3 linked regions of the Drosophila melanogaster genome follow. The protein of the gene in region 1 interacts with the protein of each later gene in a pairwise test. Each region holds a gene or a part of one and is shown in the gene's direction. Other genes may lie near its edges.

Region 1 (5,685 bases):
GCCTCAGCCTCTGAAAAAGCCTCAAACGAGAGCGACAGTGAATTGTTTTTTTTTTTACGATTTTAGCATTTAAGCGTCGTCGAGCCTACGAACAACAATTACCGATCGGTCGGATCAGACAGCTAACAAAAAATAAGAGCTTCCATGGCAAATTCCACTTCCACTCCCATCCCCTCCCATCTTCATCGGCAACTGCAACTGCATATCCATCTGCAACTTCATCTCCATTAGAAACTCCATCACCAGCAGAAATAGCAAATGCACGCTCTCCCATGGAGGCTCACCTGTGTGGGTATGGACACGAGTGCAACAGGAGGATCGGATCGGGTCGGAGCAGAGCGAATCGCCTATATAAGACCAAAATAGGGCCGCGCTTGGCACAGTGTCTAACGGAGCTGCTTTCACTAGCCAGTGCGATCAGTGCCAGCCAAACGGGCGACAAAGCGGGCCAAATCAGTGGAATACAGTGGATAAGCGGCAGAGACTCCTTGCGAAATGAAAGTGCTCGTAAGTGGTTCACATAACCAATCACATAAAATCGGTCAAGTGATTCTCGATGAATGATTGGCAAACATTGCAACAGTTCGATCTTCTCAAATATAAAATTTATTGGTTTACATTACATCTAAAGGATAGGATTAAATATTCTTTTTTGTGATTACTTTGTTTGGAAATCGTAATGACTTGCATGTGTTAGTAAGCTTAAGCTAATATTTATCCTTTCAGATACTTCTTGTGCTGTTGGCCATTTCCTGCCAAGGACAACACCACCATCAACATCAGCACCAAAATGTGAACAACATACCACGCGATGACAAACCAGATCATCATCGTCATGAAGATCACAGAGAGACCAGCACCTGGATACCCATAATCAAGTACAACAAGGAGCAGAGTGACGATGGAAGCTACAAGACAGAATACGAGACGGGCAATAGCATCATTCATGAGGAAACCGGTTTCCTCAAGGACTTCGACACCAATCCAAATGGGGTGTTGGTTCAGCATGGCCAGTACTCCTACCAATCCCCCGAGGGAACTCTGGTCAATGTGCAGTACACGGCCGACGAGAATGGATTCAGGGCCACAGGTGATCACATTCCTACTCCGCCGGCTATTCCCGAGGAGATACAGAAGGGTTTGGATCAGATCTACGCTGGCATTAAACTGCAGCAGGAGCGTCTGGAGCAGAGGGCCAAGACAGATCCAGACTTTGCGAGGAAACTGGAGGAGCGACGCGTGGCCAACCAGAATGGCCAGTACATCGGTCTGCTGGAGAACCAATAGACGAGCTCCGCCCATTCCATTCCCCCACCGAACCGATGATCCTGGAAACGTAACTTCTTCGCATTCTATATCAACAACAACAAGACTGTGATTTCATTCTGCAAGCTCTTCCAAATCCAAATCGCTGTACCACACTGAATGATAATCGTTTAATAACTTTTGAATTTCCCACTAAGTACCATAAAACCAACAGACAGGGGCGCTCAATCAAATTAATAATATTTTATTAACGAGTGTGAAAGTTTCGCTGCTTTGAAACAATAAAAGTAAACTAACGTTTCCATTATGCCGAACCGACTTGATGATGGACTTACCATATTTTCTGGCATTATTTTTTTCCGTTTTACAGCTGACCATATCCACGATGTTCAGACAAACGTGACAAAGCGTTTATGGGTCCTCATTATTTTCTCAAAGTATTTCCCCATTTACCGTGCATCTTTCGTTGCTTTATTATTTACTTCGCAGATCGAATTACGTTAGTTTGTTGATCCCATTCCATGCAGGTTGGGTTTTCCAATTTTCCATATTTCTACATCGCCGCCATGGAAATTTTCTTTCGAGAGGAGTCTCTCGACTGGTTGCCAGTTGCATAATTACGACAGATTTTCCAGTGCCATTCGACTTGTCTTCGCGGGCAGGCGTTGCATGTGGAAAGGCTGAGGAAGCCAGTTGAAGTGGTCCACGAATGGGTTACTGGCGTAGCCCCGATTTCGCGCCGAGAAACCTCTTCGTTCTGCCAATTATTGTATTTAACGTAGGCTACCTTTACCGTTTGGCATTTCGAATGGAGTAGCCCTTGGCTACGCAAATATTGAAACCAAAAACCACTGTCATCAGGTTGAAAGAACAAACAACCGAATAACCTTTTGGGCCACAAAACGGCAAACGATTTGGCCACCTAACATATTTGCATATAACGTAAACACACTGACTATACTCTGCGGTTATTTCTAGCTGAATATAAATCAAATCCGCTGCATTTTCACCACCGCCGTAGAAACAGACCCCGAAAGCGGGGCCCCGAAGAATGTTTATTCGCCATTAAGTTTCAACGCTCTTGCGCATAATTAAGACGAAAAAAAAACCATATAATAACGAAGCCGAACAAAGGAAAATTTCTATGGCCCGTGATTAGAAAGAATCTTTCTTGTGGGCCTGTGCGGTGCTGGAATTGATTTGGCCAACTCAGTTGCCGTTTACAAGCCGTCGCGTGCAGATCGCAAATCGCCAGCAAAAGAGATACTTCCTCTACAATATACAATATCTATAAGAAAGCTGAAGATCGAATTCGCAAGAGCGTTACACCGAAAACTGGTAGCGATAATACAAATATTTGTTTGTGGGGAGTGAAAAGAAATGGGGAAGTGAAGTGGTTGATCGACAGAAAAGTGAAGATGTGAAGAACTGTAGATGTGAATATTACATTGACATCGAAGCAACGTCAAAGAAAAAATAGCAGAAGCCAAAAATTAAACAATAGATTGTTATTGTGGCTGCTGAAAACGAGAATGAATCAATAAACCTATAAAAACGAACTGTAAAATTGAAAAGTAGCACAGCATCTGCAAAAAAAGAAGATAGACGTGTTCAATTTAAATATGGTTAGTCATTGGAAAGAGTGTCTACTGTGGTCGCTGATAGCCCTCAGTGGCTGCCAGCTAATTGCCACACAGCAGCTGCAGGGTCCTCCCCGTCCCAGGGGGCGTATACGCATTGCGGATATGCAAAATCCCGTTTCAGTCGGCGGAGCACCTGCTCAGGCATTGGGAAACTGGCCAATTGTGCCGGCTGCAGGCCCCATCAGTTCCACTGTGCACACCCACATTCCACTGTGGCGCGAGGAGACCGCCCCCCTGCCGGCCACGCCCAGTCAGGAGGCGGTGGTGTACGGCAACTGGAAGCCAGAGCATCCGGAGAGGCCCGAGAAGGTGGACACGAAAATCGATTCGGAACCGCAGCCCAAGGAGCGGGTCTACGGACGCCTGGAAGCCATGCTCATGGGATTGCCGGCAGATGGTAAGAATTCAACTTCGAATGTGAATTTCCTATTAATATAAGTATCATTAAAAACAAGCAAACGCTGCTAGAATTTAATGAAACTAAAGTCTGCTTAGTCTTTTATTTAATAGGTTAAATATATTTTCAATAACCTGAATTATTAATCTCTAATGTTATTGATTTATATTAATGATAACTATATTGAAACCTAAACATCTTTTTAAAAAGATCTTCATGTAGCGTTTAATTTGGTCTCTGTTTCGAAATTGTTTGCTCATGTCTCAAATACTTCTATGCCGCAGCTATTGATGCCAAGCCATCAAGTTCCAGCGAAGAGCTGTCCGCTCCTATTGCCCCTGGTGGCTACCAGAATCCTGCCTATTCCCGACCAGTCAGTCGTGAAAGTTCAGCAGAGAAATATGGACGCCGGCGCATCAGTACTCAGCAGGTGCCACAACAATTCGAGTTGGCCAGGGTCAACGATTCGGAACCCATATTGAAGGCAATATCCAAGCAGATCAACGAGTCCGTGGAGACGACGACGGACAATCGAAGGAATTCCAAGAATTCCGCCGACGACAACTGGTTGCCCCTGCCGTATCCGTATCCTTACGATACCACAATGCCAGCTCCACCTGCAACGAGCTCCGTGGTACCAGGATTTATGCAATCCTCGGTGGTGCATCCACCGGTTCCCACACAGCCCACTAGATCCACTGCGGGTCTATTGAATTGGCCCACTGATTTCATCGATAGCACATCCCTTACGGTGAGCACCGAAAGGATAGATGGGAGCATTCAGGGGAGCATTGACCGGCGCGACGAGAGCGTCTCTGATCCTGTGGACGAATACAAGTACTACGAGGATTCTCTAAACTCCGCCCAGATGCACAGCGAACTGAGTGTTCCAGAGACCGTGCCGCTGAATATAACCCGGGTGGGCATTCCTTACGAGGATCGAAATGCCTCTGAGGAGCCAACCATATGTGTGCCTCTCACCGTCTCGGAAACTTCGCTTTCCTCCGACAGCATTGTGCCCCAGTTGGTGGAGGTCGAAAGGGTCTACTGCTTCCCCCTTCCCAAGGTGGAGATACGTCCTGGTCATGCTCGTCCGCAGGTAGAACAGGTGACGAGGCAGCAGGAGATACTAGATGCAGATATGGATATACAGCCAACCCAAGTGGCTATACCGAGTGATTCCGGCGCCGGATCCCCGCAAAGATCACTTGGCACGCTCGCGGTGCTCCTCGTTATTGCTTGGAGCTTCCGGCGAGAAAATAGTATTTAAATTTAGTATCACTTGACCTTAACACAACTCAGGGGCTATTCGCTAATTACACTTACTTAACAATTAAACCTAAGCCAACCCATACAATTCACTTCAGCTGTTTTTTTATTTTGGGTGGAAATTGATGGGTCATCAACTTGTTTATCTCTAAGAAGAATATATTTTTCATATATTTCAATGAATTTAGAATAACTCTCTAATCTACCTTTTTTCGTATCCTACCTTTAGTCGATTAGTCGAAGGCGTAAACAAAAGCTGATAACGACCTGCACTTATGTAGATAATGAATTCTTAAGCATTCCTTATCTCTATGGATTTTTTGATTAACAATTTCATTCATAGAAAAATACTATTCGTTGTAGAACTGTAATGAAATAATTATATAACTAGGTAGGACATCCAGTCGAGGTGTAAAGATAACCCATCCAAAAATGCAGTAAATTGAATCTAATCGAATGCATATCATGCTTACTACGAATTGTTCGTATCTAATCAGTCAAGCGTCAGAGTGTATGGAATCAATCAAAATTTATTTTTATATACATAATGTATTTATTGGATTGGATCATATCAGATGATGCCTAACTGTGAAAGCCAGCATTGCATCAAAGTAACGACATTATTATCAATTGTAGAAACCTTTGCAAAAAGAATCTCCTAGAACCGGAAAGTAGGGAAAATATTTAACAGCTTTAGATTTTAGTATAATATATACATATATTCCAGACTAATTTTTAAGCTTACCAGAAGCCTAACCAAACTATGATTACATTTATTTATGACAGCCACATTCTCACCCAAGTGAAATTGTTTTAAAAGGGAAAGAACTTTCAAATTTATGGGTTGGCTGCCGGGCTCTGAGCAATAGAGTGTCCTTGTAAAGTGACAATAAGTGCGCCCTTCCTGTTAATCAGTACAAAGTTCGAAAAGTAGTAAGCAATGCTGTTATTAAAACAGCCAATATTCTTTAATGTTCAGAAATTATTTATTTCTTGTTATTAATTCTTAACCCTACATGGGCTGATACTGGCAATAGTTATTTTTGAAAACGAAATGTACAGGACATTGTCTGATAATTTCATACGAGGATGCCATTCCCAGTCCAACCA
Region 2 (3,516 bases), 7.3 Mb from region 1:
TTTCCTCGACAATGACTACACTTTAGCGGCAAATTTGTGCGCATTGTCGCCGTATTATTTGCTATTATTTATGCCTTTTCCACTATTTACTTCCTTTCTTAGCGCCCGCCACGCTATTTTCAGGGGGAGGTATGCAAAAGTGGCCACTCCTTGGCCAAAGGAATAAAACCCACACATTTACAGCCGCGATCAGTTTAATAGTAGTTTTTATAATAGTTAAAAAAAAACCAAAAAAAAAGTATAACGCGAATATGAACCACAATTAAAAAGTTATTAAGTATTATGAAATGTATTGTAGCCAAAAATAACTAACAAAACAAAACTAATAAATACCATAAGTCTTAGGGTAAAAACCGAACCATTTTGTTTACAAAACATATTATATAGATCTAGCACTATTTATGTAACCGCAACTGTATCCACATATAGAACAGACGGGAAAATACACTGGGAAAACCGCAGGCAATCATGGCTGGCTGACACTTATGGCGTGCTAAGCATTTGCGCTCGGAGAGGCTCGCGTGGATTTTAAACATTTTCACACAACATTCTCATATTTAGACGTCGCCCATCAGCCAGTGGAAATTCGCCTGCCGGTGTGTGGGTTTTGCCTTTTGCCAACCCGGCGATAATGTAAGCTCCTTTAAGCCCGAAATAAAGAACGCGAAAAGCGGACGCGAATGCGACCGCACCAACAACATGCAACGGCACACGCGACCCCAAACGAAAATCTGTGAAATGTAATTGTTACCATGAAAGCAGGGCCAACTCCCCTTCACCGTTCCATTTGGCAAGGGAAACCCCCTTTTGAGGGCATTTTAAGTAAGTTTCGCAGTTTGATAATCGCCGGGCCTCAGCCGCCAACGCTGATATACAAATTGGCTTTTGCAATGACTTTATATATTTTACGAGTTGCGGTCCTTTTTTCGAGTAAGCGTCCTTTCGTCCTTCAGTCCTTTAGCCGTTTTCCGTTTCGCATGTGAGCAGCCCTGGGATGCGATTATAAGGGAAAACTGATGCAGATAAAATTAATTGAATTCAAAAAGCCAAGCCATTGGTCTTGCTCCATCCGTTTTCTTGCCGAATGTGCCTGCACTTGGCTTGGCGAATTTTCGCCATACTTTTCTGGGTCATGTCATGGGGAAAGTAAATAGTTACATGGCCACGGCTGCCTTTTCTTTATCAGGAATTAAAATCAAGTTGCTCCACTCGCATGAACTATATATGCACTATAGCAATCTCAATGGCAAATTGACAAAATCAGATTGGTGGAAAGTTCGTATTCTACAATTATTAAGTACTATTGCCTTCATTGGCAAGGGCAGTAAATAAAGTACAAATGGAGTTTCGGTTTCAGAAGAAAGCCAATAAGTCGTGTATTCTAAGAACATTCGAATTCGTATTTGAATTTCCATAGAATAATGTTGATCGATTGGGCGGTCTTATAAGCACATAATTCCGCAAAATTTGAAAGCCATTATCTTATCGATTTACCAACAAACCTTTTAGAAAATCGGAAATACCTTGGAATAGATTACCAATGAAAGTTACATTTGTTATCTCTTGGGTTATGTTATTTTGAATTATTATTAAATTTTAAGTGTACAATAGAGAAAATGCACATTTCACAAAGTCCCAGCGGTAGTGTACTTTTTATAATTTTGGAAGCTTAATCTTATCACTTAAAAACTAGAAGCAAAAAAAAATTGTACATATGGCTATCTCAGAAGGAGACCTTAGAGGGGTTTTCCTCATTTTATTTGTCATGACTAATTCAGCATTTACAAGGCCTTACTCATCGCCATGGTCATCATAATATTCCCATGTTTGTGCTAACTAACACTTCTATCGATTAGCAAGCAATACTATACAGATTAGATAGTACTTATCTTTATGAGGCAGGTCTTGATTAGATTTACCCTGACAATATGGATTTAGTTGCCTATAAGAGTTGGACCCAACCGCACGGTTTTCAAAGTTTGCAAAAATATCTGAATAATGCCACCACCACACGGAGGACCCGGAGGCCATGGACATGGAGGACCGCATCATGGCGGACCCCCGCATCATGGAGGCCACCATGGACCGCCACATCACCATGGACCGCCCCATCATCACCACGGACCTCGTCCCTGCTGCCTTTGCTGCACAATTTCATAAGAATTTATAAAGGAATTTATTAAAGATTGTAGTTTTAAGAACCCTCACGTAATAAATACGAATGCCCCGAAGGAGTTCTGTAACTGTGTATGTGTTTAAGGTTAATAAGACGCCTAATTAGTGTAATCGAGTGCCTCGAGTGCTAAGCAATTAATGGCTGGCTAATCATTATGTGTCACCTCAAAACGCTTTAAAACCTCAAAAGCCGCTGCCATAATACAAGTGTACCAATGGTATCTGTGTGTTTTGTTGCGTGTCGGGAATGCGTGTGTGTGTGTGTGTGTGTGCGTATTTGAGGGGGAGTGGATGGATGTGGTTGGAGGTGGAGATCCTGTAGCCATACACACACGCACTTCACATTTAAGGTCGGACTGGTCGGTGGCTCTAATTTATAGCAGCCAAGTGGATGCCGAAGACCAGAAGACATACAAGTGCCATAAATTCTGGCAAAGGAACACATTATTTATACTGTCAACCGGTCCATATTTCGGATGGGAAATACTACGGCCTAACCATAAATAAGTGCATTGCCTTTGCTGTGCTGCGAAATAAGTCTTCATTAGCGGTTAAAAGGCTGACTGGTTGACCCACAAAGGACTTCTTAACGCTACGAAATCGGTTCCCTATTCTCCATTTTCCGATTCACATTGAGTTGTTTTCGTCGCCCAGCCGCAGAAATGCCGCATTAAAGCCGGAAATTCCCAAACAACAACAAGGAAAATGCTTAAAGTTCAAATTAAGCACAACAGCTGGCGAAAAATTGAATTGAAAGCAGTAGGAGGAGCAGGAGCGGCAGCAGAGTGCCAACAAAAGCAACAAAGAGTCGCTGCTCCCGGTCACCCAACCCCGAAAAATCCCCAACCTTAAACCTCGAACCCAAAAACTCAACTCAACCCAAGGCATTTTCACGAAAGGCAGCGGAAAACAGCCAAGGGAAAACCTAAAAGGAAAAACCGAAGCACGCTTTTGGGCGACAGAGGCGCGATGTTAGCCATAACTTCGGGCCATCAGCTGGTGAAAAAAGAGAGCATTAAAGAGACAAAAATCCAAGTTATAGCTGAAAACTGAGAGTACCGATAAATTGAGATTTTCCTGGCACAGTGGCGACATTTTTAATCATAGTGTTTCCTTGTGGTACTACGACACGCATGCGTCGACATATTGAGTGAAATTGGAAAAATCGGAGAGCCAAATCTGAGGTTTAGTTAGTGCTTCGAACAAAGCTCAAGGGTTTGGATGTCTATTGTGGAACATTTGGATTGTTCTCCACCGATAGACATAAAATTTAAGACCCTGCGAACGTTTACTGTTTCGATTGCTTGCAATGGCCAAAAGCAGTTTTGTTAAGTGCTGATT
Region 3 (8,966 bases), 1.1 Mb from region 1:
ATGCAGAAGGAGCTGCGCGAGGCTTTCCGTCTGTACGACAAGCAGGGCAATGGCTACATTCCCACCTCCTGCCTGAAGGAGATCCTCAAGGAACTGGACGACCAGCTGACCGAACAGGAGCTCGACATCATGATTGAGGAAATCGATTCCGACGGCTCTGGCACCGTTGATTTTGATGGTAAGTGCGCGGACCAATTAGCCGCCGTCAGTCGGGCTATAAAGATCTTGGATTCCTTGGCGCGCTGCCATGGTATTTTCCACACAAATTATATCAATTTGTTGCGGTGGAGAACCCCTACCCCTCCCCACTAACACCACCATCCCACCAACGAGGGGAGACGCCCTTGTGGTGCTTTATTTATAGTTCTTTAGATCTTTACACAGAAACAAGCAGATCACTTTGCCCCAGATTCTAAGGGGCATTTCACTATTCCTAAAACAAAATCCGTCCATATTTTCCGCCTTTTATAATTGTTCCGATTGGTGTACCAGTTTAAAAAGAAACAAATTTGTATTATGAGGTTTTGGTCCAATTTCCACTTGTATTAGTACACAAACCATATTTTAGTTATCAACAATAATAATAATTAATATTATTTTGTATTTAATTTCCAGAATTCATGGAGATGATGACTGGCGAGTAAGCATTGTGGACCCAACGTATCTCATAATTGTCTACCCCCCAACACCCGAGGCTTGAATAAACGTTTTGTATTTTATTTCTACGATTGAGTAATCATAATTACGCTATAAATAATCCGCTCGTTCAGGAACCGATTGAGTAGAAAAACCCAAAGCGCGGCAAACATTCTATGGCTGCAGTGCATCTGCATCCGAGTTGAGTCATCTTAATTGCCAATTGCCACCCTCTGGCGTGCGGATTATTATTAAATTTCAATGTTTGTGCAATGGGCTGGGAGTGGGCGTGGCCGCTCTGCTCATTTGTGTGTTAATTTGGCAAGGCCATTCGGCGTATGAGTGATGCATGTTGCGCATACGCAACGTGGCCAGATGCATGCGGAGTTCTTTGTTTCAATCTTTCCGCTATTACTTGCGGCAGTGCGTGCACATTCCGTTTGCCACTTGACTGGCGTTCTGGTCCGCACAGCTGTGACCATCCCAAGCAGAATAAGGCCCACTGACAACCTGCTAGATTTTTGCCTTTCCAAACAGCCAATGTAGTATATCATAGCTATGCATGCAGGCTGGCAAATGTCAATGAGCATTCTCCTTGTTGCCAAAAGATGTCAAGCATTTACGCTAAACTTGGCCGCCGCGACATGCAGTGAGTTTGTTTTCCCAAATTCAGCGAAAAGAAGCAACTGCCCTTTCTGAAAAGTTAGCGAAAAAAAAGGAGAAGGGGCTTGGGGCAGATCGATGTGGATGGGTTGGGGTTTGGATGTTGCCACCAAGTGGAGCAACTTGTTTTGCGCAATGCTTAGTCTTTCGGCCGGAGGGTGTCGATATTAGTGGTATTTATTACCGCTTCGAATCCAGTTTTCAGTTTTTACCCAATCATTAGGTGAAAGGTCACAGACTGGACCTGGACGCCCTGTGAAAGAGCTGAAAATGTGGCGGATTGTGTTGGGTGTCAGATTTATTGACATCCGCCTGGGCAGACTTCTCAATATGCGATTCTTGACACCGAGCGCATTAAAACGGTTTCCCAAACGTGCAATTCAATGGAGATGAAGCTGAATGATGATGATGCGCTCGAGCGTTGAGCGTTTCGATTGGATTCCAATTTACGAGCACCACCAGCAGCAGTTGCTTGCTTGCTAATTTTTACCCACTAACCGAGGAGAGATGTGGCTGAGAGCGTTTGTTTAACAAGACAAGGTACATTGAGTAAACGAGATGCCGCCGTTGAGACAATAGTCAAAATGCATGGGCTTGCGGATGAGGATGCGGGGGCACCACCACCTCCTCCTCCCTTTTTCGTGCGATTGTTTTCTGCCCCAGCTGGGGACGGAGCCTCAGCTAGCACCACCACCATCACCACCACAGCTGCACACGATTGCAATAAATGCCATAAAGTATCAAAATCTCAGCACTCGCTCAGCACCGAGCTCCAAGCTGCAAGCGGCAAGCTCCGGCTGCAGTTTTCGTTCATTCCATTCCATTTGATTGCATTTGGCGCCAAACCAAGTATAAAAGCTGGAGAACTTGGGCTGCGATCGGCACACAAGTACCGTGACATTCGAGGAGCCACAACACGACACGCGGAGGCACTGCATCGCTGGTGCGGCAAAGGACTTACGTGGATTAACCCAGCTTTGTGGATAAATTAAGCAGTGGATAAATTGTGGGTGCGCCAAGGATTCTTCTTCTTAATCCTCGATCGAAACAATCAAAAGATTGCTGTCATGGCTCTTAAGTGGGTAAGTTCAGTGAAAGAGGAAAGTAACTTTGGGTTAGAAAATTCAAAAGATCCAAGTGTTCTAATGAAGAGTCCTTTGAAACTCCATATGCTGTTGTGGTTAGAAATTATTGTAGAGCTTTACTAATTTTTCCCGAAAAGTATCCTTCTTGAGATAATGACCTAGATTCAAAAATATATTTCAATGTTTGAATATAATATTCATATTTATATTCATATTTTCCGTTTTTATTCTTTTCGGATTTTTTACATTCATTACATTTTTACATTTTACATTCGAATGCAAAGATCTTAATGCTTCAAATTTAATTAAATTGATTTCATTACCCAATTTAATTTAAATGAAAGTAAAGTTACGAATTTTACCTTAGAATAAAGACATTCAATTATTTTAGTCTAGGGAATTGTCTCATCAGAAATCTGTATTAAATTGGCATAGGAATATTCTTATTCATCAAGAGTTTATAACTTTTCAGGAAACTTTGATTTAGTTAATTATTTAATCTCAACTTGGCAACTCATAAAATTCCGCGAAAAAGAACATGCCTAAACAATAGGCCACTGGAGTGTCCCATCTTGGATATTTTAGCACAGCCAAGGGTTTCCCCATTGCACTTAGCATATCCGATTGTCTTGAAAAGATCGAGTAATCCCCGTGAAACGCATAAATTAACAGCCCATTTGCAATCGGAGATGGTGGATGGCACGCAAAGTTGCCCAAGATGGTTTGGTCGTGGCCGATCCGCCCCGCCTCCAAAGCAGATCATCGAAATGGAAGCAGTGGCGACCCAATTGGCAGCCCATTTGCAATAACCGCAATTATATTTGCGGTTGCGAAACGCTGTCGAAGATGTCTGCTAGGTGGTCACGAACTCCAAGAGGCTCTCACAGACTCCTCAAGATATTCCGGCCCAAGGGGCAGGCGTTGCTTGTTTCGGTTGCATGTGCCACAGTCGCCGGATGAGTCAGTGTGGCAAATGTCAGAATTTCCACAATATTACATTATTACACTGCCCGGCTGTGGCGACAAGTGAGCTCATCATCGTGCCAATCGATGGAGCTGTTAGGTTTATGGCCCAATGGAATTCGTAAACGGTTTAAACTTCAACTTGACACTCGCTGGTCCGCTCCGCTTAGCCAACCTTCCCAGCCAGCAATTCTCTGTGGCACTCTCGGTTCACACGCTGCTGCATCTTCAGACGTCTTCTGTCTAACAAGAAGTCCATAAATATCATAGTTCGCCTCAGGCTGAGACAATGATGAGCCAGCCCGATGTTGATACTATAGTCAAGAGTCCCCGCTGCACTTGCAGCCTTAATGGGCGACGACGATCGGTTGCAACAATGGAAAACGTGAGCGGATCGGATTGCGTCGTTCTGTCAATGGACAAATGCTTCATTGATGAAATGGCCGACATTTGGCCACACTCTTGACCCCTTTGGAGGTTCCCAGCGGCGGGGTCATGATACCCACTTGGCCGAGATGTGTATCAGGGCTTAATTAACAGCAGAAACAATTCAAGGTTCTTCTTGTAATTTGAAGTTTGGAAAAAGCTTATCGTTTATTTTTGGAACGAACCATTGCTGTTTAACTTAAAATACACATTTATTACAAATAATTACCAAAATGCTATCATGAGTAAAGTACAGTTGTAAAAAATGACATAATGTTAGTAAGACATTAAAAATCGTTTAAAAGTATTTCTTAATACGAATAATTCGAAAATAATAATTTTCAGACGCTTAACATTATTTTAAGTTTAAATACGTCCTTGTGCTCAAGCAACAAAAGTTTATTCGAATAACACTTTTTATGGCGGTCGTTAAATGACTATTTCATTACATTTAGCAGCCTTTTTTCATGTTATCTTCAGATTTATGAATTAGCCGCAGTTAATGAAGTTAAATTTTAAACAATTAGCCACCCCTGCGATTTTTCACTGGCATTTATTTTGCAATCAAATAAGTCAACACGCCAAAGATTCGCTTCAGGCCAAATTGAGAACGTGGATCGCGATGGAAGATGCTGGATTCGCATGAACTTTCCATGTGCTTGCATAAATTTGTGAACTTACCGGGCAATCCCTACCTGCAACGATCTTTTTCAGGCTCTGGTGATCACGACGCTGGTGGTTGCCCAAGCAGCCAAGCTGGATAACAAATACCTGCCCCCACCTGCAAGTGCGGCCAGTGCGGGCGGCAGTCCGGGAGCAGGGCTTCAGGGCCCAGGAGGTGGCTTCGGCGGAGGTGGAGGATTCGGTGGCGGCGGAGCGGGTGGAGGTTATGGAGGAGGCGGCGGTGGCGGACCAGCTGGCGGCTTCGGTGGAGGACCAGGCGGTGGCGGTGCTGGTGGCTTTGGTGGTGGTAATAACGGACTTGGTGGCTTCGCAAACGGAAGACCCATTGCACCTGGCGGCGGCGGCGGAGGCGGCGGAGCACCCGCTCCACGCCCCAGTCCGTCAGGTGGCGCGCCACCAACTTCTGGACCTCCCATTCCGATCCTCTCATTTGTCAACGAGAACGACGGCGATGGCAACTACCGTTTCAGCTACGAGACTGGAAATGGTATAAAGGCCCAGGAGGAGGGCACCGTTAAGAACAAGGGATCTGAGAATGAAATCCCATCCGTGATGGGCTCATACTCCTACACAAATCCCGAAGGTGAACTCGTCGAGATCATGTACACGGCGGATGAGAATGGCTTTGTGCCCTCGGGCAACGCCCTGCCCACTCCACCGCCCATTCCGGAAGCGATAGCCAAATCTCTGGCTGCCCAGGGCATCTCCATACTGCCGGGTGGTGGATACAGTGGCGGTCCTGGAGGACAGGGTAAGTTTCTACAAAATAAATCAATGGATTAACATTCCATTTCATTGCTCACTTTTGATTGCAGGAGCAGGTGGCGGCGGAGGCGGTGGTTCGGGATATGGAGGCGGATCCGGATTTGGAGGCGGCGGCGCAGGAGGAGGATCCGGTGGAGGCGGAGGTGGAGCAGGAGGTGGCGGTGGATATGGATCAGGTAAGATACGAATTCAAGTCACATTTTGACCCTTTTTCTTTTTTTAGTCTTTTTTGACTTTAACTTTGATTATTTTTAGGAGGCGGCAGTGGTCGTGGAGGAGCACCAGGAGGTCCAGGTAACGACTGATTTATTTATACAATTTTTAAAAATGTTAACCCCTATTAGATTAATTTAATACTTTATCGATTCGTTTGCTTCTTTAGGTGCGCCAGGTGGAGGCGGATTCGGAGGTCAAGGTAAGTTATGTTCCAACGGCTTACACATGGATCTAAAATACTATTTATTTTTTAGGAGGTGGAGGAGGCTATGGAGGAGCTGGTGGCGGAGCTGGTCGTGGTGGTTCCCCAGGAGGTCCTGGTAAGTCCTTTTTCTAGATGAAATTTATTGTTCCTAAAGAAAATCCGTCTTAATTCACTTCATGAATTTATATTTATTTTCATATATTTCAGGATCACCTGGCGGCGGCGGATTTGGTGGTCAAGGAGGTGCTGGCGGCGGTTATGGTGGTGGCGGCGGCGGAGGACGCGGCGGTGGCGGAGCACCAGGAGCTCCCGGTAAGTTAACGAAAAGTGTTACTCCATAGATACTCAAAACTAATAACTTACTTCAACTAAAGGATCACCTGGCGGTGGAGGTTTCGGAGGTCAAGGTAAGTGATCCCGCCTGACTTTGCGGTTCAAGTTAAAACTATATACACTTTCCAGGTGGAGGCGGAGGATTCGGAGGTGGCGGCGGACGCGGCGGTGCTCCTGGCGCTCCCGGTGAGTTCATGATTTCATTCACTTTATATAATAGATAACACATTGCTTATTTTCAGGATCACCAGGCGGAGGCGGATATGGTGGCCAGGGAGGTGCTGGCGGCGGCTATGGAGGCGGCGGCGGTCGCGGTGGTGGTGGAGCACCAGGTGCGCCAGGAGCACCAGGATCCCCAGGTGGTGGCGGATTCGGAGGTCAAGGTAAGGGATTTTAAAACTTACTGCACATTCACCTCGAATAATACATTCATCTTGTAGGAGGTGGTGGCGGATTCGGAGGAGGTGGTGGTCGTGGAGGTGCCCCAGGAGCTCCAGGTGAGTACAAAACATAAATTGTTTGTTACTGAAAATAAGGAATTATTAATTAATAGGATCGCCTGGTGGAGGAGGATTTGGCGGTCAAGGTTAGTTAGCAAAACAATATTCCAGTTGCAGGTCTTAAGTAAAACATCTTCATCTTGTAGGTGGGGGTGGCGGATACGGAGGCGGCGCCGGTCGTGGTGGTGCTCCTGGAGCTCCTGGTAAGTCGATTTTAATATCTGCCTAGTGGCTTTAAAAACATACCATTCGTGTTTCGCAGGCTCTCCCGGAGGAGGAGGATTCGGAGGCCAAGGTTAGTAACTTAGTAACAGTACACTGTGCATTCCACAAAACTTACGAAATTCTTCAAGTTTCCGACTACTTGTTAAACTGTGTTATAAATATTATAATAATTAAAGTAATATTTATTTTTTAGGAGGTGGTGGTGGCTTTGGCGCCGGCGGTGGTCGCGGTGGAGCTGGAGGAGCACCCGGTGGACCCGGTGAGTAACATTGGTTTTTGTGATGAAGAGGTCACTCTCCCAATTTGTCACAACATATAGATGGTATTTACATTTTTTAATGTAGGATCTCCAGGCGGTCCAGGTTATGGAGGAGGTGCCGGTGGACCGGGTAAGAAGCATTATAGTTATAAACCCGGTTTTACAATCTGTGTGATTGCAATTGTAAAACTTGAATTAGCCTCATTCATCTTCATGAGAAAATGATGTGAAGAGCTACACTAGACAAGTGCTATTCCCACACATTTCAGTTTTTTTATTTTGACAATTCTTGTTTGGCAAAGCCTTGGTCTATTGTTTTACCCACGATCGACTAACGATCTTTCATGCATAAAACATTTCGGCTTGCACGCGGTCTCTTTGAAGTCGCTAGATTATAATAATTTTAAAGACTGCTTTAAATAATTACAACTAATCAAAGAGGGTTTACATAAATTTAATGCCACTCTAATCGCGATTGTTTCCATTTTTTATCTAGGAGGCGCCGGTGGACGTCCAGGCGGACCAGGATTGCCCGGCAATCAGTATGTTCCACCAGCGGCTGGTGGCGGAGCACCCGGCTCGCCAGGCAGACCAGGATCGGGAGGAGTTCCCGGCACAGGATCACAGTACATTCCACCTGCTCCGGGAGCGCCGGGCGGAGGTCGTGGAAACGGAGAGTTCAATCCTCAGACGGGCTATAGCTACTAAAATCAGAATTTATTCCAAAACGCCAATCAAATCTCTCAAATCGAAGAAACGTCATTTCCGTGCAGGCTGCCCTCAATGTTCTTTCGCTAAAACAATTAATTTATTTATATAAGCTTACCTCCCTCTTCCACTCTGACAATGTGTGTGTGCAACTATCGAAATAAATGATTATTATAAAATATTTGCTTATCATTTTGCGCCGCGTAAGCTGCGGAAATTGAAACAAACTGCTTGACTTTTCAGATGCATGTATTTCATGCCTTTGAGTTGCGACTACATCTTCAAACTAATCAATCATTTAAATGACATTAATTTGTCGTTATTTCTTTGGGGACTTCTTGAAGCGTCTGCCGTACTGATTATAGCCATATGGATCCACCAGGTTGTTCGGTCTGCCCCTCAGTTGTTGGGTGATTAGGGCCTGTTGCTGCTGCTCGTTTTGCTGCTCCTTCTGCTGCTGTTGCTGCTGCTGCTGTTGTTGCTGCTGCTGCTGCTGTTGCTGGTTGAGATTCTGCTGCTGTTGTGCCTGTTGTGCAGTAAGATTGCTGCCAAACGATTGCTGGCCAAATTGTCCGGCATACTGACCGGGTAAGTTGCCGGAATGCAACTGATTGAACGGCTGTTCCGGTTGATATTGCCCGGAGTTTGGCTGCTGCTGCTGCTGGAAACCGCGTTGCTGTTGCAACTGTTGTTGCTGTTGCTGCTGCTGTTGCTGCAGTGGAGTGAGCGGCTGTTGTCCTGGAAGCTGGGGACGAAAGGGGGCGTTGGGCAGTGGGGGTGGCAGCTGGCGGAAGGGCGTCTGGTATGGATTCAAATTGGGATTGAGCAAGCCCTGTTGATAGGGCTGGGCACCTGCGAAATATTGAGGGCTAGATGGAATCCCCGTGCCCTCCGCTCGAAATCCGTTCTCATCGGCGATGTAGCGCACTGTGATGGGTGTGCCCTCCGGTGAGGTGTACGAGTAGGATCCCTGAATCACCTGTTCAATGGCAAATAAAGTTGTTGACAAATAGCACCCAAAAGCATGATACGAATTTTTTAGTTATAGTTAGCTCAACGCCGAAAAGATTGCAACGCATTATGTCCCAATTTGAATAATATGATCGTTGGTTTTTTGAAAATAATTTACTTGAATTTATGCATAGATATGTGAAGCTTAAAAAACTTGTTCTACTAAAAAATAACAGAAAAATTTACTTAAAAAAAGGCTGATGTAAATATCAACAAATAAGTCTTAACACCATTTTCCATCAATTAATGCTATAGGATCATTTAGAAGAATATCACTGAAAAGTTTG

The links.
Region 2: the proteins of CG13157 (region 1) and CG15126 interact in a two-hybrid assay, tested with the Drosophila melanogaster proteins (one large-scale study listed by BioGRID).
Region 3: the proteins of CG13157 (region 1) and Cpr47Ef interact in a two-hybrid assay, tested with the Drosophila melanogaster proteins (one large-scale study listed by BioGRID).

What each region holds. Positions count from the first base shown.
Region 1 is NT_033778.4:12,413,567-12,419,251, forward strand, and holds CG13157 (uncharacterized protein), read left to right. Parts: upstream 1-2,477; 5' UTR 2,478-2,888; coding exon 2,889-3,306; intron 3,307-3,590; coding exon 3,591-4,576; 3' UTR 4,577-4,665; downstream 4,666-5,685. Other genes in the region: Cpr49Ah (cuticular protein 49Ah), read left to right, coding at 496-507, 727-1,287; CG42782 (uncharacterized protein), read right to left, coding at 5,588-5,685.
Region 2 is NT_033778.4:19,688,847-19,692,362, forward strand, and holds CG15126 (uncharacterized protein), read left to right. Parts: upstream 1-1,951; 5' UTR 1,952-1,998; coding exon 1,999-2,160; 3' UTR 2,161-2,232; downstream 2,233-3,516.
Region 3 is NT_033778.4:11,265,792-11,274,757, reverse strand, and holds Cpr47Ef (cuticular protein 47Ef), read left to right. Parts: upstream 1-2,182; 5' UTR 2,183-2,366; coding exon 2,367-2,381; intron 2,382-4,487; coding exon 4,488-5,208; intron 5,209-5,272; coding exon 5,273-5,398; intron 5,399-5,477; coding exon 5,478-5,516; intron 5,517-5,604; coding exon 5,605-5,637; intron 5,638-5,692; coding exon 5,693-5,758; intron 5,759-5,850; coding exon 5,851-5,955; intron 5,956-6,017; coding exon 6,018-6,050; intron 6,051-6,105; coding exon 6,106-6,162; intron 6,163-6,218; coding exon 6,219-6,359; intron 6,360-6,416; coding exon 6,417-6,473; intron 6,474-6,529; coding exon 6,530-6,562; intron 6,563-6,622; coding exon 6,623-6,679; intron 6,680-6,738; coding exon 6,739-6,771; intron 6,772-6,894; coding exon 6,895-6,960; intron 6,961-7,045; coding exon 7,046-7,090; intron 7,091-7,456; coding exon 7,457-7,668; 3' UTR 7,669-7,843; downstream 7,844-8,966. Other genes in the region: TpnC47D (troponin C at 47D), read left to right, coding at 1-178, 616-644; Cpr47Ee (cuticular protein 47Ee), read right to left, coding at 7,988-8,647.